Schizosaccharomyces pombe: one gene and its partners. The gene in region 3 interacts genetically with the main gene of each other region. Each region holds a gene or a part of one and is shown on either strand. Other genes may lie near its edges. The genes, in order: ncs1, gsf2, prz1 and cmk1.

Evidence for each region.
Region 1: of prz1 (region 3) and ncs1, extra expression of one impairs growth in a mutant of the other (dosage growth defect), as found in Schizosaccharomyces pombe (one study listed by BioGRID).
Region 2: of prz1 (region 3) and gsf2, changing one suppresses a phenotype caused by changing the other (phenotypic suppression), as found in Schizosaccharomyces pombe (one study listed by BioGRID).
Region 4: of prz1 (region 3) and cmk1, changing one suppresses a phenotype caused by changing the other (phenotypic suppression), as found in Schizosaccharomyces pombe (one study listed by BioGRID).

What each region holds. Positions count from the first base shown.
Region 1 is NC_003424.3:308,009-314,573, reverse strand, and holds ncs1 (calcium-binding protein), read left to right. Parts: upstream 1-3,019; 5' UTR 3,020-3,139; coding exon 3,140-3,203; intron 3,204-3,242; coding exon 3,243-3,275; intron 3,276-3,393; coding exon 3,394-3,737; intron 3,738-3,783; coding exon 3,784-3,915; 3' UTR 3,916-4,417; downstream 4,418-6,565. Other genes in the region: pus9 (tRNA pseudouridylate synthase), read right to left, coding at 1-544; SPOM_SPAC18B11.03C (N-acetyltransferase), read right to left, coding at 988-2,300, 2,362-2,392; gpi18 (dolichyl-phosphate-mannose--glycolipid alpha-mannosyltransferase PIGV), read left to right, coding at 4,768-4,823, 4,855-6,193. UniProt on the Schizosaccharomyces pombe protein: Negatively regulates sporulation perhaps by controlling Ca(2+)-dependent desensitization of git3.
Region 2 is NC_003421.2:958,354-969,144, reverse strand, and holds gsf2 (protein Gsf2), read left to right. Parts: upstream 1-3,132; 5' UTR 3,133-5,172; coding exon 5,173-9,864; 3' UTR 9,865-9,946; downstream 9,947-10,791. UniProt on the Schizosaccharomyces pombe protein: Galactose-specific adhesion protein essential for non-sexual flocculation and filamentous growth. Required for adhesion and filamentous growth through recognition of galactose residues on cell surface glycoconjugates. Induces flocculation when overexpressed.
Region 3 is NC_003424.3:785,233-793,503, reverse strand, and holds prz1 (calcineurin-responsive transcription factor Prz1), read left to right. Parts: upstream 1-3,591; 5' UTR 3,592-4,339; coding exon 4,340-6,385; 3' UTR 6,386-6,726; downstream 6,727-8,271. Other genes in the region: mta1 (S-methyl-5-thioadenosine phosphorylase), read left to right, coding at 1-455, 555-815; SPOM_SPAC16C9.01C (carbohydrate kinase), read left to right, coding at 1,336-1,375, 1,413-1,490, 1,653-2,620; smp3 (alpha-1,2-mannosyltransferase), read left to right, coding at 6,941-7,064, 7,105-7,230, 7,275-7,343, 7,442-7,608, 7,649-7,806, 7,872-8,271. UniProt on the Schizosaccharomyces pombe protein: Involved in the regulation of calcium ion homeostasis. Binds to the calcineurin-dependent response element. Transcriptionally regulates pmc1.
Region 4 is NC_003424.3:1,735,700-1,742,740, forward strand, and holds cmk1 (calcium/calmodulin-dependent protein kinase Cmk1), read right to left. Parts: upstream 3,602-7,041; 5' UTR 3,389-3,601; coding exon 3,225-3,388; exon of another isoform or gene 3,178-3,224; coding exon 3,123-3,177; exon of another isoform or gene 3,056-3,122; coding exon 2,965-3,055; exon of another isoform or gene 2,893-2,964; coding exon 2,562-2,892; intron 2,500-2,561; coding exon 2,133-2,499; 3' UTR 1,754-2,132; downstream 1-1,753. Other genes in the region: mdv1 (CCR4-Not complex subunit Caf4/Mdv1), read left to right, coding at 1-1,249; potassium ion/proton antiporter Kha1, read right to left, coding at 4,917-7,041. UniProt on the Schizosaccharomyces pombe protein: Important in cell cycle regulation.

The DNA of each region.
Region 1 (6,565 bases), 480 kb from region 3:
TGCTAATCATATGGACGCGCATTTCTTCAGCGGCTTTAGGACTCTTACTAAAGAACATCAGACCAGAAGTTAATCTGTCTAATCTATTGCAAGGATATAACAGAGAACATTTGTTTTCTTTCATCAAAATATGTAAAACAGTATTGTGATTATAGCGACCTGTAGGATGCACTGGAACACCAGCAGGTTTGTCAATAACAACATAAGATTCATCTTCATGGACTATGCCTACTGGTTGGTCAGAAACTGGTGGTTCATGACGATGCGCATGATGGGAAACTATGTATCCATTTTCAATCAATGTGTCAACGTTACCAATCTGATTGTTTACCTTAACTTGACCATTGCGTATTGCCTTTTCATAATAACCAGATTCCCTGTCCCTAAATTCGGTATTGAAAACCTCTAAAAGAGTTTTACCGTACCACCTCAGCTTCGCGAAGGTAATGTATTCATAATAGTAGGGAGGGACTCGCCGTAGCCCGTCGCCTTTAAAAACGTATTCACAATCTTTCAAAGGATCTCTTTTAGGTCTTTTTAACATCCCCTTAGACCACAAGCGAATGGTTGAGTTTAATCCGCTAATGGTGGAAGTGAAAATCTAAGTCGCGGTTGGCAAAGGAGTGTAGTTGTCTTGGTATTATTCTCGTACTCACTCAACCTGTGGATAACAATACTTATAGTGTTCAGCTACTCAAAAGTATTTATGGTATTTAAAAAATTTTTACTACATGCTCTTTGTTGTTAATAAGAAGACTTTCGAAAGTGAATAATATAGGTGTCTATTCAAGAAAAGTTCGAAATCTTTGAATTAACCAGCATTACCTTAATAAAAAGTGCGTATAAAGCTTCAAACTTTTCATAATTCAAAAATTCTTTCGAATAACCTGTTCTCAATTTGAAATCTATAAATAGGAGAAGAATGGATAAAAATAGGTAAAAAAATAAACAAACCTATTAGTCGATGATATTTTATACTGGGAACGGCTATGAATTCATAGAAACCTTTTCGAGAATACTTAGAAACTTATCCCTTATTTTTATAGCCAGCTCATGAGTTTGTTCGGTGTTCCCATCATCAAAAATAGAGAGGGAAAACGAACATGGACCATCTGCTACTGTTATAACATTTAGTACAAAAGGTGCAGAAAGACTGGAACAAGGTTGTGCAAATGCCATATTCTTGATTTTTACCGACGAATCGGCGGGAAAGCTAAAATACCCCAAATTAGATATTTCAGCCGTATTTCCTCTAGTTTTTTCACAAGATTTTAAAAGGTAGTCTTCAATATCAATATAACTTAGCAATCCAATTTGTTGAGACATCTCCCTAGGATTGCTAAGCGCTGCTTTTAATCGATGCGAAAACTCAGTTGCTAAATCTACCATGGTATGTTTATAGTCCTCCTGACGCTGACTTGGCTGAAAACCGTTTAGATGATGAACGTAAGAAAACACATAGTTTCCCATGGTTTGCTTGGCTACGGGCAAAAAACGGCGCGCATTCACATCAATGAGCATATCTAGGTTAACTTTACCATTTTTAGCAATAGCATAATATATACTGAGCATAAAGACAGAATAAAAAATCGAAGTGAAAGAAGCGTCTATGTTTTTTGAGAGTTGCTTGATGTTTTTAACAACAGCATTAGAAATTGAAAAGAATATTGTATGCGATGAAAATGGACGCACTGGAGCATGACCTTTATAAGAAGGAGACCGAAAGCCCTTAGAGAACGGAAGTCCAGAGTTTGTCCATAGTGCTTTCATTAGACAAAACCATGAAGGATGAACATCTATTAGTTTTTCAAGATTTTTAGGAAGTGGTAATTCTGATACTGGCACGGTTGAAGATGAAAAATTTGTTTTGGACATTTGTAATCCTTCCAAAACATATTTATGAAACAAAGGGCCACTTCCTCCGTCGAAAAGGGAGTGATCATATATAAAAACTAATTCGGACTTATCATTTAGTACATAGACCATCCAAAGAGGAAGTGTCTCATCGTCATAACATAGCTTAAAATTTTGAAGAGCGTTATTGCAGAAGCTATCAACTTTCTGATCATCAGCATATTTAACGACCTTATCAAGGTCTATTGTTTTCAACTTCTTTACAATGGGAATTTTGCTATGACAATTGTGGATCCTAGCACCTAGCATCGGTTGATTGACAATTGCATGATATACTGCTGGATATAAAACTGTCGAATCGAGCGAAATAGAGTAAGTTGCAGAAACAATTACTATAGAAAACATATTTAAGACATTCCTCTTGACGGAATAAATTTCCAACCGTCCTGTAGACATTAGTAAGAAAATGATTAGAAAATCGAAGAAATGTTAAACATAATTACCAACCTGCTTCTCTTTCTTCCATGTAGGTATCCATAATGATATTAATAGCTTTGCTTCAACGACAATTCAATAGTTTTGAAACCGAATAATGAGAGAATGCACTATTTAATCAGTGGTGAGTTATTTCAACGCGTAAAAAATGAAAATTTACATAAATTTACCAAGCGGCGCAGTGGAATCTCAATATCCATCGATAATCAATTGTAGTTAAATTCCAGCTACTTTGTTCATATTTTTATTTTTGAAACAGATAGATTTAAAATATAAAAAATGTATTTTCTGAACTGTAATAAAGGATGGTAAAGGTAAAACTACAAGATCAATAACTAATGTACAAATGAACTTTCAAAACATCAACTTGATGTTTTCAGTGATCTATAAAAAATCATTTTTTATGCTTACTATTTAAATATTTTTTTATATTCGTTCACATAAGTATCAACAAAGCTTGCATATTTTATTATTCACATAAATTGTTATATATCTGGAATACACTAGTTTAAAAATTTTCTAATAAATTTCTGCCAAACATGTATACGTAAATTTACATATCTTAGAATTAAAAAAAGATGAATTTACTTTTATAATGAGCCAAATAGGAACTGTTTTAATACCATTTAACACTAGTTACAACTTGTCGATTGACAACTCAATTTACCCTGCGCCTCCCCAACTTCAACTACTGCTAATTGCTAAACAACTTTAATATCCGACAAGTTACTTAAAAAAAATTATAAATTAAACCAACTATCCTCTGAGAAAAGATTAACTTGTCTTCAAGATGGGAAAATCACAATCAAAATTGTCTCAAGATCAACTCCAAGACTTAGTTCGTTCTACAAGGTGTACGTTTTGTAAAACTAGTCAATACTAACAAATCCAAGTTGATAAAAAGGAATTGCAACAATGGTATAAAGGTATGACAGCTATCCTAAAAAAATTGATTTTACATCCGCATCATGGTTCTGCAATTTGAATAAGATTCTTAATTGCTGCTAAATTGAATGTTTAACGCTGAATCTAACAAGTATGCAGGGTTTTTTAAAGACTGCCCTTCTGGCCATTTGAATAAGTCTGAATTTCAGAAAATCTATAAACAATTTTTCCCATTCGGTGATCCGAGTGCTTTCGCTGAATATGTATTTAATGTTTTTGATGCTGACAAAAATGGATACATTGATTTTAAAGAATTCATTTGTGCTTTAAGTGTGACTTCGAGAGGTGAACTGAATGATAAACTTATATGGGCATTTCAATTATACGATCTTGATAATAATGGATTGATTTCTTACGACGAAATGCTACGAATTGTTGATGCTATCTACAAAATGGTTGGTAGCATGGTCAAGTTACCGGAGGATGAAGATACTCCTGAAAAGGTTTGAATATTTAGTATGTTGAGCATAATGTCTAATAATTTTTTAGCGCGTCAACAAGATTTTCAATATGATGGATAAAAACAAAGATGGGCAACTGACACTTGAGGAATTCTGCGAAGGGTCCAAACGTGATCCGACTATCGTGTCAGCCCTTTCTTTATACGATGGATTGGTTTAGCTTTTCACCCCTAGTATGCATTATTATCAAAGTTTTCTTCTGCATATATATCTTCGATTAAACTACATTTTCGTTTTTATCTGTCTACCTCTCAACTTTTTTGTTGGTGAGATTAATAAGGTAGTTTTACTGTGCTTTTACTTAACATATCTGTTGTTTGTTTTCTGGCTTACTTCCTTGTTCTTTTTTGCTTCACTCAATGAAAGTACATTTTGCCTTTTATTACATTTTTTAATATAATGAAGGTTTTAGGCTCTTGCTTTAGATAAAATTCAAGAAACTATTTATAAATAATTCAGCGCGAGACATTTTTACATAGGTTCTTGCTCAATGCGGTTTTCATATATTCTTGTGCAATCACTGGATTATTTGTACCTGAAAGCTAGGGCAGTTAAATTAATTTAGTCCGAAAACGAATTGACATCTTTTACGAGTTTTTCAAACGTTACTTTTCTTTTACTGTTAATATATTCTCCATTAATAATCATCTATTTTTCACACATTTTAATGAGTGTGGTCATGCTTAGCTAAATTAAGCTTTAGGTTGTCTTTATAGATTATCACCCTGATAGTCGATTTAGATATTTATAAGTAATTATCTTTTTTAAATACTAATTTTGTGGCTTTCAATTCATTTATGAGTGTATTCATTTGAGAAATTTCTTATGTATAAATGCTTCGCATAAAGACGTTGCAATTTTAGTAGGCTTAACCCTAGTACGGCAACACCCAACTTCTTAATGGCAGGCCTGAACTTGGAGTTTTTCAAGGTATGAATATTCATTTTTAAATAAGGTATGAACCATACTAATTAAAAAGTTTACTTTATATTGTGCGCTTCCTTTAGCAGCAATGTATTATATTGGACATCCTAGTTATTATCGAAAACATATTGAACATGTATGTTTGTATATAAGACCTGTTTTAACAAAATACTAGTCAACATTCTGGGATACTCAAGAAAAGGAATTACCAAAAGAACCAGAAGAAATACATAATGAAATTAAACGAATCCGCGATGAAAAACGCAGAAAAAAAATCGAACAGTTACTTAGCGATAAGGATGACTAGGTCGGGATATAACTACTTTAAAGGTATCTGTGTTTGCACCTTTTTGCTTTCTACGATTCTTTATCTTGGCATTGCAGTAATAATGTCACACTTGTGTGTTTTTGATGATACTGCAATGTTATATCTACGACAAAATCGATCACGTTTAGCTGAATCAAATATATTTAGAACCCTGTTCATATCTTGGATTCGATGGGATGCTATCTATTTTGTTGATATGGCTGTCAATGGTTCTCTATTTGAACAAGAATGGGCTTTTTCTAGCTTATGGCCAAAAATTATTTCTTTTCTTGCTTTTCGAAGCAAGGATGTTGTGCTTTTAGGCATAGTTTCTTGTTTTGCTTCTATATTTTTTCATGCAATTGCTTGCTATGCCCTTTACCTATTAACGAAGTCCATTTTCTCAAATCAAAAAATGACCGCTTATACAGTGATATTTTATTGTTTCTCTCCTTCTGGAATATATATGTCCGTGGGTTACACAGAATCACTCTTTGCTGCTTTCAGTTTCTTGGGGCTGCTTTTGTTCATAAAGAAGCAACAATATCCCGCAGCATTTTTGTGGTCTCTTGCAACCTTAATTCGTAGCAATGGAATATTTTGGTGCATATTCTTTGGAATGCCAGCTATTGGGACCTTAAAAATAAGCTTAGAACGATTACAACTTACATTTATGCAAGTTTCCCAGCTAGTTGGTTATGGAACAAAATGCTTAATTATACTTGTTCCCTTTTTCTACAACCAGTATCTTGGATTCAAATTATTTTGCCCCGGAGTAGCTTGGTGTAATAAATCATTACCTCTTATTTATCCAGCGGTCCAAGAGAAGTACTGGAACGTTGGATTTTTGCGTTACTGGACCCTTAACAATATCCCAAACTTTTTATTTGCTTTACTCTCTATAATACCCATCTTATTTGCATTGTTTTATTCAATTTCTGGATCCACTTTACACAGTTTCCGATCCATCAAATCGCATCTTGTCCTGAGTGCCTTATATCTCTATATAGGCTGTTTCCACATGCACACTCAAGTTTTAAACAGAATGTCTTCAGCTCTTCCACTTCTCTACTGGTCAATGGCTCATGCAACCTTGTATGCAAAATCCAGAAACTTAAAAGCTTTTGGCCATTGCATCTTGTTTGTATGGATAGTTTACACTGTCATACAGGCAGGTCTCTATGGATCTTTTCTACCACCTGCTTAATTTAATTCACTCAATTCATGATTACTTAATTTTATTATAACATTTTTTTACTTGAAAAACAACACTTTTAGCCATATCTATAATAAAAACTTAGTGAGCATCTCTGAAACAATGTTAAAATATGCTAATTGTAGGTGAAGTTAACAACTCGCTGAATGTTTAATTTCCTACTGATTTGACATCTGTAACCCCGTTGGGTACATTAATAAACTTACTGACTTTTCAAGTCAGTACAATTTTCAGACTATTCCATTTTCAAGTCAAACTGTACTTTATGAGCACATAGCGTAACGCTGCAAAATACCGTAATTACATACTGGGTTATGGCAAATTTTTGATTCAGCAATTTATTCTAGCGTACACACCAACTAA
Region 2 (10,791 bases), on a different chromosome or scaffold from region 3:
ATTTAATATATTAGTGAACGATTAGGAAATCAAGCATCATCCAATATCCAGCCTTTCCATTAACAAATTGCATTTCCACATAATCGAGAAAAAAAGAAATGACGAAACGCAAAAAAAAAAACAATAACAACAACAACCACCACAGTGAAAAAGAATATTTCCGTCGACTAGAATGAGAGTGATTTAGTGAACGACGCACAACAAACCCATTCTCTCAAAAAGTGATACATTTTGAAATGACCTTTACTAAATTAATTGGGTAAAAAGATGAAATCGGTTTGTTGAAGAAATATGCTTCCCTAGAAACAAACGTTGAAAAAGGTTGTTGTAAAGAATGCTAAGTATCCCTTGTTCATTGTGAATGTTTTCAATTGCCTATCTAAAATTCACAGACGAAATGAGAAGGAAAAAAGCCAGCCAACTGTATACGCAAGAAATGTGTGACAATTCGACAAGAGTCATAGAAAGTGGGCGGGAAACAGAAACACACAGAAAGTATGACAACTAAAACAAAAAAAAAAAGCGATTATAAAGAAAGAAAAGACTGACAGCTTGAAATTTTGAATTGAAAACCAAATCATCCTTTTAAACATAAACATAAACATAAACATTTCATTTCCTTTCCAATCCAATTCAATTCAATTCATTCCACTCCACTCCACTCCACTCCAATCCTTTTCAACCCCCAGCTTTCATCGCTTCCCTCTTAAAATCGGTTTTTTCTCCAACTCCATCATTCATGAGAATAACGACAACGCACTCCACCTTAATACCGGTCTCTGAACATTCAACATCCATCCCCTTGGAGCAAGGGAGAGGGAGAGGGAAAGAGAAAGTGGGAGTCAGCAACATTTCCTAATACTTTCCTTATTGAATGATTGTAAAGCGGGGAGAGATTAAGATGATAGATTCACAATAGTTAGGGGAGAAAAGTAGAAAGAAACAAATGATACTCTCAACCACTTTTTTTCCTTTCCAACAGAGAATAAGAGAAAACAAGAGAAATTGAATATGAAACCATATTAAAATTATGGGAAGGTTAACAAACTTTCCACATGCCATAAAACATTAGATGAAACGATAAAACCTTGACTTGTTTAGAAAGTCACGCACGATAGGCATAGAGTTTGTAAATAGAAGTAAAAGTAGCAAGCGGAAAATTAGAAAATAGAAAACAGAAATAGAATTAAAAAAGTGGAAAAAATAATATAGAAATAGAATTAACAAGTGGGACACAAGTATCAAAGTAAAAAATAAAATATAAATAGAAATAAAGAATCAAATTACCATCTTGTATATCTTCTTCTCTTTAATTATGCTTAACGACGACCTCGCTAATCGTAGAAACCTCTTGTTTTGAAAAGGTGAATAACGAAGCGGAATGGAGTCACAATGTTCTCCTTCTTCATATGATGCCATAAATAAACAAGGAAGCGAAATTTAAAAGCCGCAATTGGACAATGTGTTTGACATCATCCTTCCACTCAACGAACAGATAACATCATGTCATGACGTATAAGCTTTAGTGTTTTTGTATTTGAGAAACAAACATTGGTCAAGGATTACCGAAAATTTAAAGGGTTGATTTACCGAAATCATGACGTATTCCATTCAATTTCAGCACGAGGAAGAGGTAAAGAACATCAAGTAACGGAGACCCTATGTAAATAAAGAAAGCATGGAAGAACAAATAAAGGTAAGGAACAATAAAATGTCTAAGAAAAAAAAGAAACAAATACGACTTCTCTTCGAAAAAAAACAACAACAACAACAATTAACGATTGCTCTTTTCTTTACATATATATATTTTTTTATCGTAATTTGATTGCCTTGTTTTCCATGGGAACCCGAGTGTATGAATATTGGTGAATTCGTATGTACACATAAAACTTTACTGTGTGAAAACAAATAATGAATTAAAAAAAAAGAAAAGAAAAGCATCTGATTCAGCCACCTCTTTTTTATCTAATTTCCCTTCTACAGTTTATGAAAATTGGATGCATAATCGAAATTGCCCTCTTGCCTTGTCGGACCGATGGTTATTTACTAATAGTATATAAGCCTACCCCTTTTGCTTAACGAAGCATTTTACGAGTCGTAAAGTTGAAATTAGCGAAAAGTTTCGCAGCACATAAATTGACAATTCCACAGAAAAAAAAAATGTTTGAAAGAGAGAGAGTGTGTGTGATTCAGGATTCTCTTTTTTTATTCTTTTTTATTTTTGGGGGTAAGGTATTCTACAATACACGAAGAAGACTTTTTTTAAAATGTCCATCTAAAAATAGAGAAACTTAGAAGACAATCGAAGAAAATAAGATCCCCTTTGATCACTGAATGCACTACACTACACTGCACTAATTCCGTTTATGAATGCCGTTTAGTACGGCAGGAGCGGGTTACTGCTAAAAATAAATAACGACGGCTACTAAGAATAGAAAGTAAAGTGGGTGTGCTATCCGATGTTGGTTATTTACAGAAATAGACGAGAAACACAAGAAGCTGCTTACAAACAAAAAGTATTTGTTGTGTGAATGGTGGATGAAAATAGAAAGGTTCTTGTTTTAACTTCTTCTCATATCTTTTAAACGAATAATTAATGAGTGTTTCTTTATTCGTGAGTCTATATTCTCGGGTTTCCTTCTCAAACTTTCATCCAAAATAGCTAGTTCTATAAAAATAACCATTTCAACATGTGCCTAGGCATTGCCGGCTTTACCATCCATGATGGCTAAGCCAAACTAGCTTTAATCACAACCAGAGCAAAAAGTACACACTGACCGAAAATAGTACATACTGACCTGACTGTTTAGTGAAGTAGAGCGTAGCATGTACACAGTAGCAAAAAGGATATAGTACGTTGGCTTTGACGTTTGGAAAAGAAGCAAAAGAATTCATTTCATTCTAAAAAGATTTCCATATATTTTATGTAATTTTTCTCGTAATTATCAAGGCTTTCGTTCATTTCTTGTCCTTGTTTTTCCGATCCAATTTGCTTAAAAAAAAAAAAAAAAAAAAAAAAACTCATTCCGATTCACTATATTACTTAAGAATGCAGTATATATAATTAGCGTAGAGTAATGAGAGTTGCAAAAATTACCACCATTCTACGGGACCAGATTGACAACACCTGGTGAGCGCCGCCATGCATTCTGCCTCCAAGGCAAGCTGGACTATAAGCCGGCAGAGGTTTGACATACTTGTAATTTTATGAATTGGACATATAGAAGTAAATGCAAGTATTTTTATCCGAGGAGAACGCTAGTTGGAGGGAGAAGATGAAACAATAGTGGTGATAACAAAAAAAACAAAAACAATTGCCAAAAATTGTAGGAAAAGAAATTGGAAAAGGACGCGTAAAAAGTCATTCAAATCAGTAGAAACTTTCCAATGCGCGAATGGACATCCATCCATAATATTGAAAGGTTATTTTTCGTTTACAATCGTCGCAATTCAAATAGACGCGAAAAAATAGCAACTGAACGCTGCCACCTTAAAATTGAACTAAAAAATTTCAATTATAAATGCTTTGATCACTAAGCAAACATTGAAAATCTAACGACTTAGACGTTGCATAACTAATGAATTGACATTGCATGAACTACTACTACATCCTTCTAAACACCGCCTTTCTCGCTACCACAACCCCATCTCTACTACACTTCCACTCACTTACTCATCATTCTTCATAGTCGCACTTTTTCATTTCTCTCCTGTCATCTCCACAAATTAAATCTTAATCTCTTGTTTCACTAGCTTCTTAATTGCAATTAAAATTGCGCTTGCTACATCCTCTACACTACTCCTGTAATCAGCCTTCTTTTCTTCTCTTTCTTTAGCATACTCGGTCTCGTTATTCCATATATCGAAATTTTCTTCTTCGCTCGACCTCGATATTCTTAGGAACCAGCACAGAATGCAAAAGTGGATCCTTACCTCCATGTTCCCGAGATAGAGATTATTCCCTAGCCGAAATTAGAATTTGCGAAGAGGTTTTATGTTATCGCGGGGTCTTCCACATAGGTGACAACGATTTTTTAAATTCGAATTCAAAATGTTTCTCTAAAAAAAGAAAAACTTGCAAAAACGGGGAACATTTGAGAAAAGGGTCATCGGGGTACAGAGAGAGGGGTATAGAAAAAGTCGCAAAGGAAAAATTCCGTAAATATTCATTGCTAAAATTTCACACAGATTGGTTTGGGTGTAGTTATTTATAAATATGGCCGCATCTACTTAAGAAAGTTATTTCGCTCCTACATTGAAGGCGAGTGGTCGAGTGTTCGTCAATCAGTCATCAATTGAACATCCAAAACATTCTTAACGAGATTAAGATCGTTGACTTTCTTCTATAAAAGCAAAGCATCGAGAAAGATTCGAACATTGCAAAAAAAAAGGATTACCTATTCCATATACACCATCTGTCTCTCTCTTTTTGTTGAGGTTGCTAGAGTTTGGTTATTGGAACTTTCTTTTTTTTGTTGTATCATCATTTGTTTCCTTCCTTCCATCTTTATTTTGGGAAAGCGACTTGATCTCTCTTCGCTGCACGAATCTGTGATAACAATATCTTCACTCATTCTTTTCGCCAGCATCCAATTTTGTTTTTTTTTTGAGAAACAAATCTGCTCTTGTACATATTCTACATTCTTTTGAATTACAAGTGGGTATTTTACATTCATTTGAATAATTTAAAATAAATCTGGCTAGCATTTATTTTTTAATATTCTCCCCTTTTTTCTTTACATCCCCCATTCTATCGTCTAGGATTTCGGGTTGAAATTGGGTTTTAAGTTGTCCTACATTTACACAAAATAAACACTGGGTAATTTCGTGTTTGGGTTGGTTTGGTAATACAGCTTGCGAATCTCCTTTCATCCAGTTATTTTTTATTTATATATATTATTTCTTTCATTAATCTTTTCGCAATTTTGCATTCATTTAAACCCTCTTTTCTTCATTCTCTGTTGAAACTACGAGCTTTATTCATTTGGGATTCACTATTTTTCTAATTGAATTTCTATCATATTATCAATAAACGCGCTCTGCACACCAATCGTCAAGCATTGGATTTAATTTTGTTTTTGATAATATTTAATTTTTTTATTCGTTTGGTTAAATTATCTTAATAATTTTGTTTTTTTCTAATTCACTTACCCGTTTTTGAATATATCAACAATGTCTGTTAGAAGGTTTTTATCCACATCTGCTCGGGCATTACTTTTCACGGCTGCTCTTCTTCCCTCCTTGACTTCTGGTCTACCTTCTGGAAATGTCAGGATTTTGCAAAAGGGAATGGAACCTGAAGATTACCTTTCCTCTGCATCACAAAATGAAGTGCCTCACGATATTTCACTTCCAAAGACCGAGCTTGCGGATCCAAATTTCCTAGTTGACGATATGCCAACCTTACTTGGCAGAGACGCTGCTGTTGATCCTAGCATGTTTACTAGCACCTTCACAGTAAAAAATGGAAATGATGCTAACTACATTACTGCTAGTCCCGTTAGCAACGACGCTTCCATGACTGCTATTAGCACTTTTACCTCAGGGAAAGAAGCTTCTTATGCAATTCAAGCAAGCCCATCTACCTTTCTTCCTGATTCGACTACCACTTCAGGTTCACAAGTTTCAAATGCTGTTGAAGCGAGCTCAACTTTTGTAGCTGATACGACTAGCACCTCATGCAACCCAGCAACGGTTTTAATTGTAACCACATCTGGTTCAACAAGTACTAGTTGTCCCCCTCCAACAACAATTCTTATTGTTACAGTCCCTACCACAACCACAACAACTACTGTTGGATATCCTGGATCCGTCACTACTACCTTGACTGGAACTCCTAGCAATGGTACTGTTATTGATACTGTTGAGGTTCCCACTACTACTAACTATGGTTACACCACTATTACCACTGGTTATACTGGATCCACTACTCTTACCACTACTGTTCCTCACAGTGGTAATGAGACTGGACCTACTACAGTTTATGTGGAGACTCCTTATCCCACAACTGTCACTACCACCACTACTGTTGGATATCCTGGATCCGTCACTACTACTTTGACTGGAGCTCCTAGCAATGGTACTGTTATTGATACTGTTGAGGTTCCCACTACTACTAACTATGGTTACACCACTGTTACCACTGGTTATACTGGATCCACTACTCTTACCACTACTGTTCCTCACAGTGGTAATGAGACTGGACCTACTACAGTTTATGTGGAGACTCCTTATCCCACAACTGTCACTACCACCACTACTGTTGGATATCCTGGATCCGTCACTACTACTTTGACTGGAGCTCCTAGCAATGGTACTGTTATTGATACTGTTGAGGTTCCCACTACTACTAACTATGGTTACACCACTGTTACCACTGGTTATACTGGATCCACTACTCTTACCACTACTGTTCCTCACAGTGGTAATGAGACTGGACCTACTACAGTTTATGTGGAGACTCCTTATCCCACAACTGTCACTACCACCACTACTGTTGGATATCCTGGATCCGTCACTACTACTTTGACTGGAGCTCCTAGCAATGGTACTGTTATTGATACTGTTGAGATTCCCACTACTACTAACTATGGTTACACCACTATTACCACTGGTTATACTGGATCCACTACTCTTACCACTACTGTTCCTCACAGTGGTAATGAGACTGGACCTACTACAGTTTATGTGGAGACTCCTTATCCCACAACTGTCACTACCACCACTACTGTTGGATATCCTGGATCCGTCACTACTACTTTGACTGGAGCTCCTAGCAATGGTACTGTTATTGATACTGTTGAGGTTCCCACTACTACTAACTATGGTTACACCACTATTACCACTGGTTATACTGGATCCACTACTCTTACCACTACTGTTCCTCACAGTGGTAATGAGACTGGACCTACTACAGTTTATGTGGAGACTCCTTATCCCACAACTGTCACTACCACCACTACTGTTGGATATCCTGGATCCGTCACTACTACTTTGACTGGAGCTCCTAGCAATGGTACTGTTATTGATACTGTTGAGGTTCCCACTACTACTAACTATGGTTACACCACTGTTACCACTGGTTATACTGGATCCACTACTCTTACCACTACTGTTCCTCACAGTGGTAATGAGACTGGACCTACTACAGTTTATGTGGAGACTCCTTATCCCACAACTGTCACTACCACCACTACTGTTGGATATTCTGGTTCGGTAACTACTACTTTGACTGGTAGCGGTAGCAATAGCATTGTTACTGAAACTGTTGATGTCCCTACCACTACTAGTGTTAATTATGGTTATACTACTATTACGACTGGCTGGACTGGATCAACCACGCTTACTTCTATTGTTACTCACAGTGGAAGTGAGACTGGTCCCACTACAGTTTATATCGAAACTCCCAGTGTTTCGGCTACTACTACCACTACTACCATTGGATATTCCGGATCTCTTACAACTACATTGACCGGTTCCTCTGGCCCTGTTGTTACCAACACAGTTGAGATTCCTTATGGAAACTCTTCGTATATCATTCCTACAACCATTGTTACTGGCACCGTTACTACTGTGACAACTGGTTATACTGGTACTGAGACTTCTACTGTTACAGTTATTCCTACTGGAACCACTGGAACCACTACAGTTGTTATTCAAACGCCTACCACAGTGACTGCAACTGAAACCGACATTGTTACTGTTACAACTGGTTACACTGGAACTGAGACATCTACTGTCACAGTTACTCCTACTGGAACCTCTACCGGAACCACTACAGTTGTTATTCAAACGCCTACCACAGTGACTGCAACTGAAACCGACATTGTTACTGTTACAACTGGTTACACTGGAACTGAGACATCTACTGTCACAGTTACTCCTACTGGAACCTCCACTGGAACCACTACAGTTGTTATTCAAACACCTACCACAGTGACTGCGACTGAAACCGACATTGTTACTGTTACAACTGGTTACACTGGAACCGAGACATCTACTGTCACAGTTACTCCTACTGGAACCTCCACTGGAACCACTACAGTTGTTATTCAAACACCTACCACAGTGACTGCGACTGAAACCGACATTGTTACTGTTACAACTGGTTACACTGGAACCGAGACATCTACTGTCACAGTTACTCCTACTGGAACCTCCACTGGAACCACTACAGTTGTTATTCAAACACCTACCACAGTGACTGCGACTGAAACCGACATTGTTACTGTTACAACTGGTTACACTGGAACCGAGACATCTACTGTCACAGTTACTCCTACTGGAACCTCCACTGGAACCACTACAGTTGTTATTCAAACACCTACCACAGTGACTGCGACTGAAACCGACATTGTTACTGTTACAACTGGTTACACTGGAACCGAGACATCTACTGTCACAGTTACTCCTACTGGAACCTCCACTGGAACCACTACAGTTGTTATTCAAACACCTACCACAGTGACTGCGACTGAAACCGACATTGTTACTGTTACAACTGGTTACACTGGAACCGAGACATCTACTGTCACAGTTACTCCTACTGGAACTGCTACTGGAACCACTACGGTTGTCATTAATACTCCTACAACTACTGGTTCTGAGGTCCTTCCCACTACTGGTGCTACTGGAACTGCTGGTACTGAGACTCAACTCACTACTGCTACCGAGGTTCAACCTACTACTGGTGCTACTGGCACTGCTGGTACTGAGACTCAAGTCACTACTGGTACTGAAACCCAAGCTACTACTGCTACTGAGACTCAAGCTACTACTGCCACTGAGGTTCAAACTACTACTGGTGCTACTGGAACTGCTGGTACCGAGACTCAAGCTACTACTGCTACTGAGGTTCAACCTACTACTGGTGCTACTGGAACTGCTGGTACTGAGACTCAAGTCACTACTGCTACCGAGGTTCAACCTACTACTGGTGCTACTGGCACTGCTGGTACTGAGACTCAAGTCACTACTGGTACTGAAACCCAAGCTACTACTGCTACTGAGACTCAAGCTACTACTGCCACTGAGGTTCAAACTACTACTGGTGCTACTGGAACTGCTGGTACCGAGACTCAAGCTACTACTGCTACTGAGGTTCAACCTACTACTGGTGCTACTGGAACTGCTGGTACTGAGACTCAAGTCACTACTGCTACCGAGGTTCAACCTACTACTGGTGCTACTGGCACTGCTGGTACTGAGACTCAAGTCACTACTGGTACTGAAACCCAAGCTACTACTGCTACTGAGACTCAAGCTACTACTGCCACTGAGGTTCAAACTACTACTGGTGCTACTGGAACTGCTGGTACTGAGACTCAAGTCACTACTGCTACTGAGGTTCAACCTACTACTGCTGTTACTGAGACTTCTTCAAGTGGATATTACACTACTATTGTATCTTCTACTGTGGTTAGCACTGTCGTTCCTGGCTCAACCGTGTATCCTGTCACTCATGTTACTACGACTACTGGAGTATCCGGAGAATCTAGTGCTTTTACTTACACTACTTCCTCTACCCAGTACGAGCCTAGCACTGTTGTTACCACTAGTTATTATACTACTAGTGTTTACACTTCAGCTCCTGCTACCGAAACTGTTTCTTCTACCGAAGCACCTGAAAGCAGTACTGTTACTAGCAATCCTATTTATCAAGGATCTGGTACATCTACTTGGTCTACCGTTCGTCAATGGAACGGTTCAGCTACCTATAACTATACCTACTACACGACGGGTGGTTTCACAGGCGGTAACAACACCAACGTTACTGGCTTATACCCATCCTCCGCTGGAGCTAATAAGCCAATTGCCTATTTGACGTTTGTCTCTTTGTTTGTATATATTGTTACTCTAATTTAAACAAACGATCATGAGGTGTTAATGTTTTTAGAATAAATGGAATTAAACTAGTTATCTTATAATAACAAATTATCATTTAAAGATATTCTATTGTTGTTTTCAGAATAACAGCATAAGTAGAAAAAAGGTGCTAATGTAAAAATAGTGAATGAGTGACAAGTTAATGTAAATGAATTCAAAGCAATAAGTGTGCGTATTTTTAGTGTAGCATTAAAAAGTACAGCATGCATAGTGTATAATGAAGGAATACGATAAAACGCATAGTGTAAAAGAGTGAGATGTGATAAAAGAGCGAGTTTGTCTAGTCACATGTACTACAAAGGTAAGGCGGCGTAGCGGGAACAGTAAAAAAATTGTGCAGCTTAGACAAATTCAGTAAAGCGAATTGTGCGTCAGCAATATAGCACTACACTATATAATTTACTACGCCGCGTATCACTATATGTCATATACTAAGATACTAGTGAACATACCGCATACCGCTTTACCGTTATATTGTAGATCGCAAGAGAAACTCACCGCGGGTCAATATGTATCGGTAAACAGATACCGAACTGCGTAGCTAACAATAAGAGTGATGTACCGTAAAGAACAGTAGGGTGCAGAAAGGAACTGCGAAATGCGTTACATCAAATTGGGGCTGGTGAATATAACAAATGGAGCAATAAAGAAGAAAATATAATAAGTTTGTAAAGGTAGAATACCAAGTCTGTTGAAAACCCATTTTCAAATGAAGAATGTTTCAATAAATTCTATTTCTATCTATTCCTATGAAAATAAACGGCTACGTTGTAGGAAGGTTTGTCGCATTCTTTTTCCCCAAGCTTCTCCACATTCATGTCGCTAATTCATGAGATGTAAGTGATATTGTGCCGCCCATACGTAACAGCAATTAATGGATAATATATGAGTATGAAAATGTGTTTG
Region 3 (8,271 bases):
AAGTTCCATCTCGAGCAAATATCGCAGCTTTAAAAAGTTTAGGTGTTTTGGCAATTGTTTCGTTCAGCGCTGTTGGATCTTTGAGGGAGGATATTCCACCGGAGGATTTTGTTCTGCCTACACAGATTATTGATCGCACCCTTTGTGCTCGTCCAAACACTTTTTTTGAATCTGGTTGTGTAGCTCATGTTTCGTTTGGTGATCCATTTGATCAAGACTTGTATGAAATTTTAAGTTCATGCGGCTCCAACTTAAAAAATGGTTCTAAATTACATACCAAACGCAAAGGAGATGATCTTACTGTCGTGTGTATGGAGGGTCCTGCATTTAGTACGCGTGCAGAAAGCAATTTATACAGAAGCTGGGGAGCCAGTATTATCAACATGTCAGTCATTCCCGAAGCCAAACTAGCTCGCGAAGCTGAGATTGCCTACCAAATGGTTTGCATGGCTACAGTAAGTTTTTAACATTCAATGTACCTCTCAAATCAAAGCCATGCTTTTTAGACAAGTACTTTGAACTTATTATTAGGAAGGAATTTTAACAAAAAATAGGATTATGATTGCTGGCGCATGAATGAGGAGCCTGTTACTGTTGAAACCGTGATGGAACATATCAGTAACAATAAAGATAATGCAAAAATCTTTTTACTGGAAGCCGTCAAAAAGTTAGAAGCTCCACTTTTGCAAGGATTTTTGGGAAGGAACTTGCGAGAAAGTGTTCAAAATGGGATTCAAACAAATCACAAGCATCGTAACCCAGATGCAATTAGACGACTTCAATTTCTTTTTCCCAATCTTACCATTCCGCACTAAAGAGCAAAGCTTTGGGAAGTAACATTTGAAATTTTATAAAAGAGTAGACTTAGCTATATTGCTTGCTAATTGACTGGTCAGGACTGTTGCATTGCTAACACTTAGATTAGTTAATTTTATATTGGAAAGTGATAATTCCTTTTTGAGAATGATGAGTACTTCCTATATATCGTTAGGAAAATACAATGTTCTAAGTATGACATGTGTGCTTGATATATGGTATGTAGTAGTATGCCCATTCATCTCATACAAAAGTAAGCAAATGCAAAAGTACATTTTTTACGGATACTTAATTTTCAGCATGATTCAACACTTCCTTCATAAATATGAAATATTTTATTTAATTATTCGCCATGTTACCTTTAAATTACTATACAGAGTGCAGGATGTTTATTGATAATTACGTAGATTATCTGCAGATGTTCGCTAACTCTGACTTTTAATGCACCAACATTAAAGCAATATATGTTCTTATAATTAAGAAAAAAACAACTTACAGTAATTTTTTGGGATTAACAAAATGGATTATCCTTCGAAAGATGTGGAATTCGTCACAACTGGTAAAAACTTTCACATATAAGTGCTAACGAATGCAAGGCATGTTTATTATAGATGAAATTGAATTCGACGGCGGAAAGAAGATTAAAGATATTATTGGAGGTGCAGGATCTTTTGGTAAGTGTCTAATTCTTTTTAAAATTTTAAGCGGAGCGATTTGCGAACTTCATTGGTGAAGCATATCTGTTTATCGAAGGTTGAAATCCTCTCCCTTAGAAAAAAGATGCATTGCGTCCAATATTTTTATTATTAAAATAATAATTAACACATTATTTTCAGCATTGATTGGTGCTAGACTCTGGACGTCTGAACCCGAAAGTCAACAACTGGGAATGATTGTTGACAAAGGCTCTGATTTCCCGCAGGTGATCCTCGATGAATTAAACGATTTACATACTGGAATTGTATACAGAGAAACGCCTTGGAGAAAAACTACATATGGTTACAACCGTCTCAGGGACAATGGTTTTCGATTGTTTGAATACCTTACACCTAAAAAGCCAATTCGTGCTCCTGATCTTTTGGAAACAGGATTGATATATGCAAAAACAATTCATATTATTACAAATCCTAAAACATTTGTCTCTGTGTGTGAGGAACTGGCAAAGTATGGAAATCTAAAAAATCGTCCTAAAATCGTATGGGAGCCAACGCCTGAATCCTGTTTACCGGAAAACTGGCATATTTTACAAAAAGCCTTAAAGTATTGTGATATATTTTCTCCAAACGAGGTGGACTCTGCCAACCTTCTGGGTATAGATATTAGCGAAAGCAAATCTCGAGCCAAAGAGTTTGTATCTGCGTTTCAAGAATTCCAAATTGGGCACGATTCTCAAGGATGGGTTGTTCTTCGAAATGGGTCCGATGGTTGTTTAATTGGTGCATGCACGAGTAGTACCAACGCTACAAGCGATGCAGTTGTCCCTGTGCGAGAAATTCTTCATTTGCCAAGTGTACAAATGAAAAACGGAAGCGTTTTAGATACCACTGGGGCTGGTAATGCTTTTTGTGGAGCTGCAATCTTGGAGTATTATAGGACGGGTAATATTATAGAAGCTTGTGCTAAAGCTACTGTAGCCGCTTCGTTTGTCATTCAACAACACGGTTTGCCGGCACACACGAAAAATAGTGAAGGGATTGACTTATGGAACGGAGAATCAGTCTTTCAGAGGTTGAAAGAATACTATGAATTTTTAGCTTCTCATGAAGCTTCCGCCATCAAAGAACTTACGAAACGAGGTGTATAGGTTGCTCTTACAACACAATATAGTCATCTTTTGCTACGAAGTACAAATACTTAATAAGATTATTATACCATTTATTACAATACGCAATTTCGTTGCATTACAATTGGGATTTTCTGCATCTAGGTAATCTAATACAAGAAATGCTCTTGATATTTGCAAATATGATATATATTAGTTGACAGAACATCGGTTGAAGTATCCGATATGAACCGCTTCGTTCACAACATTCAACTAAGCCTCTGCACCAAAGAGCCTGGAACTCGTCAAAGCCGCCGTCCGTCGTATCGTGAGAGAAGATTCTTCAAAAATAATCAATAGTCAGAATTGCATGGTGGTTTGAAGTCTCTTACATATAATTTATAGTACTTTATGTTTTCAACTTAGAATTATTCCACAATTTATAAGTAGTACTACACCTTATTCTGCTTCCCCACTAATGAGTTTCGGATGGTGTTGAAAAGCTAATTTCATGAATTTCAAGCTTTGGGGTTTAATGCTTCTTGACAAGCCTACGGAAGTTCTCCATGTTGTAAGTGGTATTACATTTGGGCACGCCTTCAACTAATAACCGGCACTTTAAAGTATGTGGCTTTGCTTCCTACCCCTTAAACTAGAATATATATTTGATGTCGCTCAATAAATAAAACAAATTTTCATACATTCATGTTATTTAGCTATTTGTGCTTTGTATAAAATACATGTCTCATCACTTTACTATACACAAGTCGCCACCCTTTAGTAAGTCCAGTAAATTTTCAATAGAAAATTGGATGAATATCCTTCAAAAACCAATTTTTTTTCATTTCTGGAACTCCTTAACTGGGATCCTTTGTATATGGAAATTTATTATATTTTGTTTTTAATTTGTTTAGCAAACTGTTCTTTAGCATCCTGCTGCTTCATACTAACTTCAAGTTTAAACTGCGTGTTACTTAAAATTCGTTACCCGATCACGTCTTGTGCAATCCTTTACCACTACATCGCAGAAATATCTTGATGATTTAGCAATTCATCCGTTGTAAATATATAATCTGCTGGCCATTTATTAAACTATCATTTTTTTTTCTGTGAAAATCAAAGCGTTTAGCTGACGCTGTAGTATATTGAGGCTATTCTGTTTTTTTTCATGTCGAGTTAGCGATTTGCGCTTGTATACTTGTCTACCTAATTTTGCAATTTTTCCTAATCGTTAAAGGGTTTTCTCTTGTGCTGTCCTTTAGGTTACTTCCTCATTTCGATCTGTGAAAATCTCATTTGTCGCACTCTCTCCTCTCATTTGTATTGCTTAATGCCCTTTTTGACGTTGCTTAGCTAACAATTATATTGTACTAACCATCAATCTTCTCAGACTTTTATCCTGCGCATTATTCCAAAATACAAAATTTTGTATCAAGAAATTCTGTCGTTATCTGATCAAATCCTGTGAAGCACTGGATTAACTTTGACGACCTCAAGTCTTAATTTTTTCGTTTATTAAACGATACTTTTGGTAATTAATTATTCATTCCACTAATAAATTTCACACCCTTGGTGTTGCTGGTTTATCCAATTTATTACTACAAACCAGCTTTACTCTACTATTCGGTCAAAAAATTCACGTTATAGGCTTTTTGAAAAATAATTTGTCTAACCATTCAATTAAAGAGAGTTGGTGAGTCTTCAGACAATATTTTTGAGAGCGTACCGTTCCAAAAGTTAATTATTTGATGAATTTCATCGATGGAGCGTCAAAGGTCAGAAGAAGCGAATCGTAGATTCAAAGACTTGAATCCTTCTTCTTTATACGATAACCTTTCAAAGCCGGATCTTGGAGGCTCTAGCGAGTTGCATACGTACATGAATGACACTTCGCTTGCTGATATCCCCCTTTTTGAGGATACTCTTGCGTCTGAAGTTTCTTCTTCTTTAATTTCCAATCCTTCTAAAAATAATATTCAGCACCTCCATCCCAACACCTCCGAGCCTTTTAAAACGTCTTCAAAATCCGATGAATATGATTCTTATCCTCGAACCGGGAATGTACCTACTTTTTCATTTACAGAACTGAACGATACTTCAGTCAGTGGCTTCGGTAGTCAAGCGGTATTTGAAAACTCCGTTAGCCCTTTAAGTAATCCATCAAATAGTCCGCAAGCATTTGACTTGACTCAAGGTTCGAGTTCTACTCATAACGCCAACGACTTTACTGTTAACAATGTTGGCTCAAGACGACAATCCATTTATGAGTTTAATATTGGTATTCCGTCTTCAAATATCGATTCTTCTCAGTTCTTACCAGTTTCACGTGCAATTGCGGCTTCTGAAATTTCTCCATCTTCATCGCCTCAGCTATTAACATCCTTCCTTCCCTCAGGATCTGTTTCAAATCCGAGTTCTCCATATTTACAAGGTTCTGTTGGTGCTCTGTATGAAGCCGATGCTTTTAATTTTGTTGATGTAATGTCACAGGCATCTGGAACTGAAGTTGATTCAGAGAGATTTCCTTCTGTTGATTTTGAAGATCCATCTTTATTGATGGAGAATCAACAAAATATTACCGGAACCGGTTCTTTTGCTGACTACCTTCAACCACCTTCTTCCGGGAGCCTGGGGGCCTTTACGAACGCGTCTCCTGGTGAAAGCAACACTGGTATAGATTTTGATACGGATAATACCAATTTGAATCCTTCCGTTGATTTATTGTCTAACCATTCCACACCTTCTTTCATATTTGAGAACAGTCCTTCCGCTGAATTTTCTCACCAGTCATCCCCATATCTTGTTCCAAACTCCGGAAGGACTTTAAACAGCGAAAATGCTAGAGAATCTACTATTCGTTCTGTAAATTCTCCTTTTTCTGAGGACCATGCAGATGCCTCTTTAACAACACACGTTTTTGACCCTATTTCTCCTACCGCTTTAAGCAATTCCGTTTTGAATTATGATTCAAACAACTTTTCGGGTACCCCACAAATTAATGTAGTACCTTCATCTCCTTCCAAATCCCAATCTGGACCTAGTTTGCCAGCAAATCCTCTTCTTCAAACAGACATTAGTATCACTTATAGCCAGTCTGCATCTCCAGTATCTGGTCAACCTGCTATGAATGAAAATTCTTATGACTTACAAAACGCTAATCTTTGTGCTCCTGAAATGTCACCCACATATACGGCTCGTCATCGATCAAATAGTGCTGGCTCACGATTTGATGCTTATGAGCCCATACCTCAATTATATACTCACTTTTCACATTCTTCTGAATGTCTATCTGTTAACCAAGATACCGAACTGCTGGGAAAAATAGAGAATGATAATTCTAAGTCGAACGATTATTTGTCAGTTAGAAATACTCGTCCTCGAAGTCGATCATTGAATTCGCTAGTAGGAAACAAATCGGAAAATTCGTCTTCGTCTAAAGCAAAGTCAGAGTCTAAGTCTCAAGGAAATTACGTTTGTACATTTGCTGGTTGCAATAAGCGTTTTACTAGGGCTTATAATTTGAAAAGTCATATGAATACACATACAAATTACCGTCCCTTTCAATGTTCGATTTGTAAGAAATCATTTGCTAGACAGCATGATAAACGGAGACATGAGCAGTTACACACTGGCATTAAAGCCTTTGCATGTGTCACTTGCAATCAGAGGTTTGCTCGCATGGATGCACTTAACCGACATTATAAAAGTGAAGTTGGACAAAATTGTCTTCGCACGGCCACAGAACGAGGAATTCAAGTTCCGCCATCCAGAAAGACAGCAGTGGCCTCGACAAGCAAACAAAAATGATGTTTTAATTTCCAAAGCAAGACATTTTGCTTGCACCTGTGATTAATGGGTGTCTAACTATATTTCCTTTTGCAATGTGATGCAAGTATTTGCACAGTTTTGCATTTAGGGTTTTGTATTATTTTTTATCTTTGATGTTACGTTTGGCTTCGTTTATAGTTTATTAACTTTTTGCCCTTTTTAAAGAGAGTTGACATTGTTTATACTTAGTGATTGATTTTACCCCATCGTTGATCCAAAATACGGCTTTTAATATTAGATTTGTTTAAAATTAATTATGTTTTGGGTATTGAGTTAGATTAATTTAAAATGTAATAAGACCTGCAATTCTTCTAGTACAATTATTTTACTGAAACATTAGTTTAACGTATACTTTTTGTATGCTTCGTGTATTCTTAAACATATACCCGTCGACCAAGAGTTGTTTACATTTTCGCTTAGCAAACCTTTTTCATAACAAACATATATAGTTCGGAATATCTCGTTATATCTTCATCGTGTAATCCATTGCACACTGAAGCAATAAATCCCGTGCTTTATCCATTGAGATTAAGGATGTTTAAAAACCGTAAATATGCTATAATTTATACTTTTCTCCTAATTTTACGCTTTTGGTTTTCGCAAGGCAGCTCATACATACATCCGGATGAGCATTTACAATCGTTTCAAATATTCGCAAGTATATTACAATTCTTCAACAATTTATGACTAATATAAAGATAAATTATTTGGCTGGAAAGTGGAACTTCCATGGGAATTTACTACTAAAAAACCAATTCGGTCTGTAGTTCCTTTGAATGTGATGCTTTTACCTATTTTCTTGCTTTGCCGGTGTATTTGCAAATGTAAGTGTATTTTAAATTGAACGAAATTCTTACATATCCAAAAGCGAACTGCTCTCCGTATCCTATTTTGTTGTTCACTAGACTCTATATGTGTTTGATCTCTTTGTTAATAGGTATGTACATTGGCGAATATTAAGCTCTGATAAATTTGGAATTTATTTCAGAATTTACTACAAACCTTATTTCCTCCTTCCTTGACTAATTTTGGCAGATTTGAGTATTTGGAACATCGTACCTTTGAACGCAAGATGGAGTGCATTGCTTTTATATTCCTCATCCTTCATGGCTACTACATTTCAAACACATACTTTTACAAACTCAATTGAAACGATTTTCTTTTTTTTAACTATACTATTTCTTTCGAAGTTGAATAGTGTGGTAAGTTAATAGCTGGCAACTCTTAACTAACAAGAATCAGCCATTAAACAAGAAAATTAGTTATTTATATACATTTTTGCTTGCAATTGTTAGTGTATTAGGATTTTTCACAAGAATCACTTTTTTAGCTTTTGTGATCGCCCCCTATATCTATTTTTCTGTTCGATGTTTTAAAAAGAACGTGAACAATCCGAAAGAGTAAGTGATTTTGATTTTTAAATTGAATTAAAAATATATTATGGAATAAACACTAACTGGATTAGCATCTTTTTGCACTTATGTATTTTTGTTTCAGTTTCTTTTGCAACTGTCTTAGCATGCATCCTCGAGGACTACAAGTTTTATGGGGTGTTTGTGATAACATTTTGGAATAATTTAAAATACAATTCTCAAATCGAAAATTTGTCACAGCACGGATTGCACTCAAGATTAACACATTTTTTCACTAATATGCCACTCCTTTGTGGTCCTCTGATTTTTGTTCCAAAGCTTTGGGACGTTCGAAAACCTGCAACTTGGTTATGGCTTCTCCCCGTTTTCATACTATCCCTGTTTCCTCACCAAGAGCCCAGGTTTTTGCTACCCGCAGCCTCTATTTTTATAGTGAACTCTGGATGTCTAGTTCGTTCATATTGGATCAAATTTTTATTTGTAATGTATGCA
Region 4 (7,041 bases), 950 kb from region 3:
TCAAGATTTGTATAGCTCATATTCTCATGATTTAATTCCTTCACAAATTGAAGCGGGTAAAAATGGAGCTAACCCCGATGTTTTTGATGATACACACGACAAGTATACAGATAATTTATCTGCTAGGGCTATCTCTCCAAGAGCTCCAAGGCCATCTACGGCTAGTGAAGTGGTATCAGATTACTTTGAACAGAATTCCGCTTTTTCTAAAGCACCAGAGAATACTGAATCATCTGTGAATCAAAATTATATAGTTGGAAATCTCGTAAAGCAGTTTCAAGCTCATTCTGAATATATTACGAGTCTTGATTTTTCCCATCCTTTTGGAACTTTAGCTACGGCCTCGACTGACAAAACTGTGAAAGTTTGGGATATGGCGGGTGTTGTATACCTGGGTTCATTGAAAGGTCATTCTGATTATGTTTCTTGTCTGGCGATTCAAGACTCCTTTATTGCTACTGGCTCTATGGATACAACCGTGCGGTTATGGAATTTAGATAATGATGTACTTCATAAGGATAATCCTGTTGAAGAGAGCCTTAATTCTCCTCCCGATCAACCTGTTGACAATGCCACAAATGTTTTAACATCTCACACTGCCCCTGTCACTGCATTAGCATTATCTAGTGATGATGTGCTTATAACCGGTGCCGATGATAAAACTGTTCGACAGTGGGATATCGTTACGGGGCGTTGTATTCAAACTTTGGACTTTGTGTGGGCGGAAACTCATGATACATCTACTAGTCAAATTTTGGTCAGTGACACTTACAAACAAGAACCTTTCATCAGAGCTTTAGACTGCTTAGATGCTGCTGTGGCTAGTGGGACTGTCGATGGACTTATTCGCATCTGGGATTTGCGAATCGGTCTTCCTGTGAGAAGTTTCATTGGGCACACAGCTCCTATTTCTTCTTTGCAATTCGATTCCAACCATTTGTATTCCGGAAGCTATGACAATTCTGTTAGAATATGGGATTTACGAAGTGGCTCGCCAATTAATATTATACCTATGGAGAAAAAAGTGAATTCCTTAAGACTGTATCAAGGTCGTCTTGCTGTAGCATCTGATGAACCAAATGTTAGGATATTTGATACTGTATCTAATCGGAACTGGATTTGTTCAATTCCTTCTCACTCTGATTCCATAGCAGCCGAACCTAACTCAGTACCTACTTCTGTTCAATATAAAGATCGCTTTTTGGTGGATGGAAAGTCTGATGGATCTGTTAGCGTTTTTTCTGCTTAATTTGTATTTTTTATCCACACCTTTATTTATTATACTCTCGTTATTGTGTTGAATCTGGATAACGTTAATTTTAAAATTTTATGTCTTTATGCTTTGGTTAATGGGTATTAACTTCTGTTTGGTTTTTTTATTTATTTATGGACAAATAAAAAGGAACGAGACATTGCGAATAAAAAACTGTGATGTTAATTTTGTTCAAAATATTTAAAAAAATTCTCAAAGCAAATTGTTTGATCACCACCTCCCTTCTGCTTCTTATACTGTAGGTTTAAAATTTAGTAAATAAAAATCTTTTCTAGTTTACATTTTTTTGGTTTTACTAGTATGAAGTACGCAACCTCATTCTGATCTGAGATGTTGTATTTCATTTTGTTGATCCAGTTTACAAAACACGCTCAGCGTGTTTAATGTCAACTACACATAATAAGTATTGAAGAATCTTTTTGAAATTAGCAATTTGAACTCACACAGTGAGTAAAATATGGAAATAACCAAGCTCTTTTTATATTTCAGATTAACTGAATGGTCATTTTATTTTTGAAGCATAAATAGTCATAAATGCTAAAATTTCAAAATTTTACATCTGCAATATATATAGAGAATTAAACAACTGCGTTCATCTGTCGTCAACAGTCTAACAATGTCAGAAAACTGGTAGCGTTACTTTTTAAAACATCGACATAACTTTTAGCATTTTGTATGAGGCTATTTTAAAAACTAAGTAGAGAACATGATAGGTCCAAGCATTCCAAATCACAAAGAATATATTTAACATGTAAGAGTGTTAATACCAAAAAAGTATGTACTGAGGGCAAAAGATAATAAAGAAGTCATAAGTCATAACAAGATAAAATAAGAAAGTTATAAGAAAAGATGTGTATAATTAATGCTTATTCTCAAGCTTTTTCCAAGTGTTGAAAGCACGTACAGCGTTATAGGCAGTACGGAACGTTTTTCTTGCATTGAAATTTTCCCGGACGTTTGGAAGCAAATTGGAGGTTGCGGGACGCTTTTCAGACAGGAAGGGGTGCTTCAACGCATCAGCAGCAGTTAAACGTTTCGAAGGGTCGTTTTCCAAACATTTTTTAATAAAGTCCTTGGCCGTTTCTGAAATGCCAGACCAGCAAGGATCGTTAAAAGTGTACTCGTTAGCTAAAATTGCTTCTATAACTTCAACCTGAGAAGGTCGAGCAAATGGAGTATAACCACTGAGTAAAAAATAAGTTATAACGCCAATAGCCCACATATCTCTATAAACAGTATTAGTCAAGATACATAACTTCTGAATTAAAATGGTAGTTGATCAACTTACACAGGTTTTCCATATCCGGTTCGACGAAAGACTTCGGGTGCCATGTACTCTGGTGTCCCACATGCCGTCATGAGCATATAGTATTGAGAATCCTCATAAAAGTGGGACAATCCAAAATCGGCAATTAACAAATCTGAATTCGGATCTTTAGAGCGATAAAGTAAATTTTCTGGCTTCAAATCTCGATGTACAATTCCATTGTCATGCAAGTACTTAACTGCTGATGTGGTAGTACGCATTAAAGCAGCAGCATCGGCCTCATAAAATGAACCTTTGGCACATATTCTATCAAAAAGTTCACCACCGGTGGCCAGTTCAGTGATTAAGTACACTGTTTCAAGGGTTAGTGAACAAAACACATCACAATAACATTTGATTCATCAAATCGAAATCGGAGACATACGATTATTCACAGTTTCAAAAAAATCAACCAAGTGTAAGATATTAGGATGTTCATAAGAAACACGTTTTAGAATTGCAATTTCATTCTTCACCTATACCACCAAAAACATGTTAGTAAACGTAAATAAGGATGCTGTAAGTACTTAAGTCTTTACTTACAAAGTCTTGTTTCTTCTCCATCATCTTTTTATTCATAATCTTAGCCGCATACATTCTATGAAAATTTGGTCAGCAAACAACTCGAATTTAAAATATACTTACTTGTTAGTTTCGATATGAACGGCTTCACGAACCGTCGCATATGTTCCGCCTCCCAAAACCCGACCGACACGATATTTGCAAGGTAATAGTTGTTTCTGATCCACCGTAGCCTTTGGAGCACCGTCTTTCAAGGCCGAGGTGTTTGGTTTGTATGTTTGCTGCATAGCTGTAAAGAATCAATAGATGAATTATTCCAATGCCAACGAAGGTAAACGTAAAAGGTTTCTCTTAATGTAAATTATTGTATTGTTAGATGGTGCCATAAACAATTCTGTACTACAGAATTCTTTTATGAAACCAAAAATGTAAAGGTATGTAAATGAAAAAAATCCCGTAGAAACAATAAAGAAAATATTATTTGCGCGAAGCAGGCTGTTGAGTTAAACGGTGGTTCAATAACAGAATGATCTAAGCAGCGCAATGACTGTCCACCAACTTATGACAATAAGTGCTTAGCCTCAACTTGTAAATATGGAAAAATTTGGAAAAGGTATATTGAAATCCTCGGATTTAACAGGATATTGATATTGAATGTACCCGAATAGTATTGATGAAGATAACAAGAAAACCAGCGTCTGATAAATACCGTCCAACTGATTTGCAATTGCAAAACCAGTAGTCTGCAGTATAGTCATAAATCCTGGTAATTCCCAATCGGTTCAGTAATTTCCGTACCTATTTTCCTCTTCTAAGAGAAAACAAGATCAGAAAGATCAAAATTACAATTAGCGTATTGAAACCACCAAACACTGTAACAATGCAACACAATTATTTAAAGAATTGAATTTAATTATACAATCCTTAAAAAATCGCAGTTTTATGAGCAATTGGCAAAACGCGAACTGCTTGAAATTTCGCTGATATTACCAGCTCATGAGAGTTAAGTAGATATAACAAGCCATCATGGCGAATATTGGTCACTAACGTATACCGTAATAATGCGCTATCCCATGCATTTTAGTTTGTTTAAATACAGTAAGCGTATTAACAACATAGAACAGAATACGAAAAGGTAACCACGTAACAAAGATTCATACTGTAACAAAAATTGTGAAAAACAGACTGAGTGTAAATTGAGCTAATAAAATCGATTTTGAATGATTACTTTTATAATCTTTTCCATCTTGGAAGAGGTATTTAGTTATTTGAGAAAGAACCGAACTACCTTCTGAAAGGAATACCATACATTTTACAATAGCAGTGAGTATGGTATGTTAATTTCTCATATGCTTCTTGTATGATAGTTAGTCGAAATGTATTGGAGATAATGTTGAAGAAGTAAATAGTAAAAAATGCGCATGCATGCTTGACTCCATTTGTTCTACAGTACTTTACCCTTGCTATGATATAAATTCAAAGTATCGGTTTAAACAGACGAAACCAATAAGGGTTTAAACTCACATGGGTTTTTGAAGGAAGATGAGTCTACAATGTAAACTATTCAACTCTTAAATAACACTTTTTGATAAATCGCGATATAGCCAAAAACTAGAAGAACCCTAAGTAACTTCTTCTTATTAAGGTATAAAACAAGTTTTCTACATTGCGAATAACGAATAGAGATGAATGCATTAATTCTAACATTGAAAATAATATAGTCGATCCTTTGGATTCCAAATAAATTATGAAAACCATTTAAATCATTAATTAAAAATAAATTATGAGATGGATGCAATAAAAACCTGAAATTAATCAATAACCTTGAACCATCTTTGTAGGTGCCTTCCCTAAAAAGAAATCTATTAATGGAAAATTGCTCAACAGCACTAACGGAATTAAACCTGCAAGCATACCAAATTCTGAGCTAGACTCAATGTAACCCAATTTCTTCATCTCCGACAGTGCAGCCACCTCAAGTTTTTCGCTCACAGCTTGTTTATCCCTACAGCCTAAAAACATGGTTATACTCTTTTCTGTCTCGAAAGAAGGGGTCAAGGTTGCAGGTTGAATAAGTTCATGAAGACAACTCAAAAGTGAGTTTAAATTTCCAAATTTTACTACATTAATCCTCGACCGAACACTATCTGTTACATCAGATAATCTCAAATCGAGTTTCGTATGTGTTTGAGAAGGAATAAAGGTCTGAGAATGCTGGTCTGTTGTAAATCCGTTTGGCTTAGTTATTTTTCGAATGTTTTTTCGAAGTTTCGGCCATACCTTAAAAGCTGAGTCATTATGCTTGCTTAACAGCACTTCACTTGTGTAAACGACATTAGGCAATGACGTCGCATAATCATCTTTATAGAATTCATCATATGTGTAAATATAGGCTATACTCGTCTCTTCATACAAAAACTTAAGTAAAAGCTCCAATGCAATTAAATCATTTTCAGTACCCAAATATATGAGAATTACAACCTTGCTTCTTTCATATGTAGAGCCTTTTTCTTTCACACTAATCTCAACCTGATCAAAGGACTTCTTGTCCTTTTCTAATTGTTCAAAATCATTCTTCGGTGAACCATACTCAGTACTACGTATGATAGGCCTAATTTTTTTCACTGATAAATTGTGAGGATTACGTGTGAAAAATACTCCAACTGGGATCCGGGCCATCTTTATTAAAGGAATCAACTCATCCAAAGATTTAAAAGAATCACCCAAAGCTAAGCGGATGGAACTCAAAGACAGAGGAGAAGAAGAGCTCTCATTCTCAATTGTTTTATAATCCTTCAAATAGGGCATGATCAAAATGTTTGAAGAAGACTTCTTCAACGTCTCAAGAACCACATTGTAATAACCAGTTCCACTCACTAGCAAGGCATTGCTTTCGTACTCAAATTTTTTTATTTTTACAAACGTTTCAAACAATCCCATTAGTGCTTCATTTTCAACCTTATTATCGACCTGTGAGGCCCTCAATAGATTTGAAGTACGAGAATCAACAAAAAGTGTCCAAATACTATGAATAATTATTTGAGGCAGATGTAGACAGCCACTCACTTTATCACGGTTCTCATAAATATGTTGTATAAATATCATAGCAGCAGAAGCATCCAATGGATGATTGATTAAAAAGGAGAGTCGAGTCGGCAATTCTGGAAGATACTGCACAAGCTCTTCGGAACTTTCAATAGAATTGTCATCATGTTCACTTTTAGTGAACCGCAGAAAGAATTTAGTCATAGGGGTGGTGACAAATGTCGTTATAACAGCCATAAACACAAACATGGAGAAAATTGTTTCATTCAATATTCCAGTTGAGAGACCGATGTTCAAAACAATCAATTCAACAAGGCCCTTACATGACATTAACGATCCAACGACTAGTGAATCCGACCATGGCATTTTGAGAATCCGAGCAGCAAGCATACTAGATCCCATTTTAGAAGCTATGGCAACACATATTGTTCCAATCGTGTATCCCCATATTTTCCCAGTGTTAAGCGTAGAAATATTTGTCTTCAATCCTGAACTAGCAAAGTAAAGTGGTAGAAACAAACAATTTACTAAATCTTCTATCTTTTCTGTGATCTTAACGGTTAAATCGTTTTCATGGGGTATAATGGTACCGACAAGAAAACCACCGAAAATTGGATGAATGCCGATAATGTCGGTGAAGAAAGCAGAAACAAGGACCATTGATAAAACAATGCATATAAAAGACTCAGATGGTTTATCCTTTAAGGACCTGGTTTTAACTGCTAATAAGTATACAAGCGGTTTTATCGCTATGAAAAGAAAAAGGCACCACCCCAAAGCGAGCAGTAGTATATATACAGCTCGAACACCGGAGCCACTATTTACCAAAGTAACTGACAATGCTAATAAAATCCAGCCGATAACATCGTTACCAATGCCAGCACTAAGAACGATT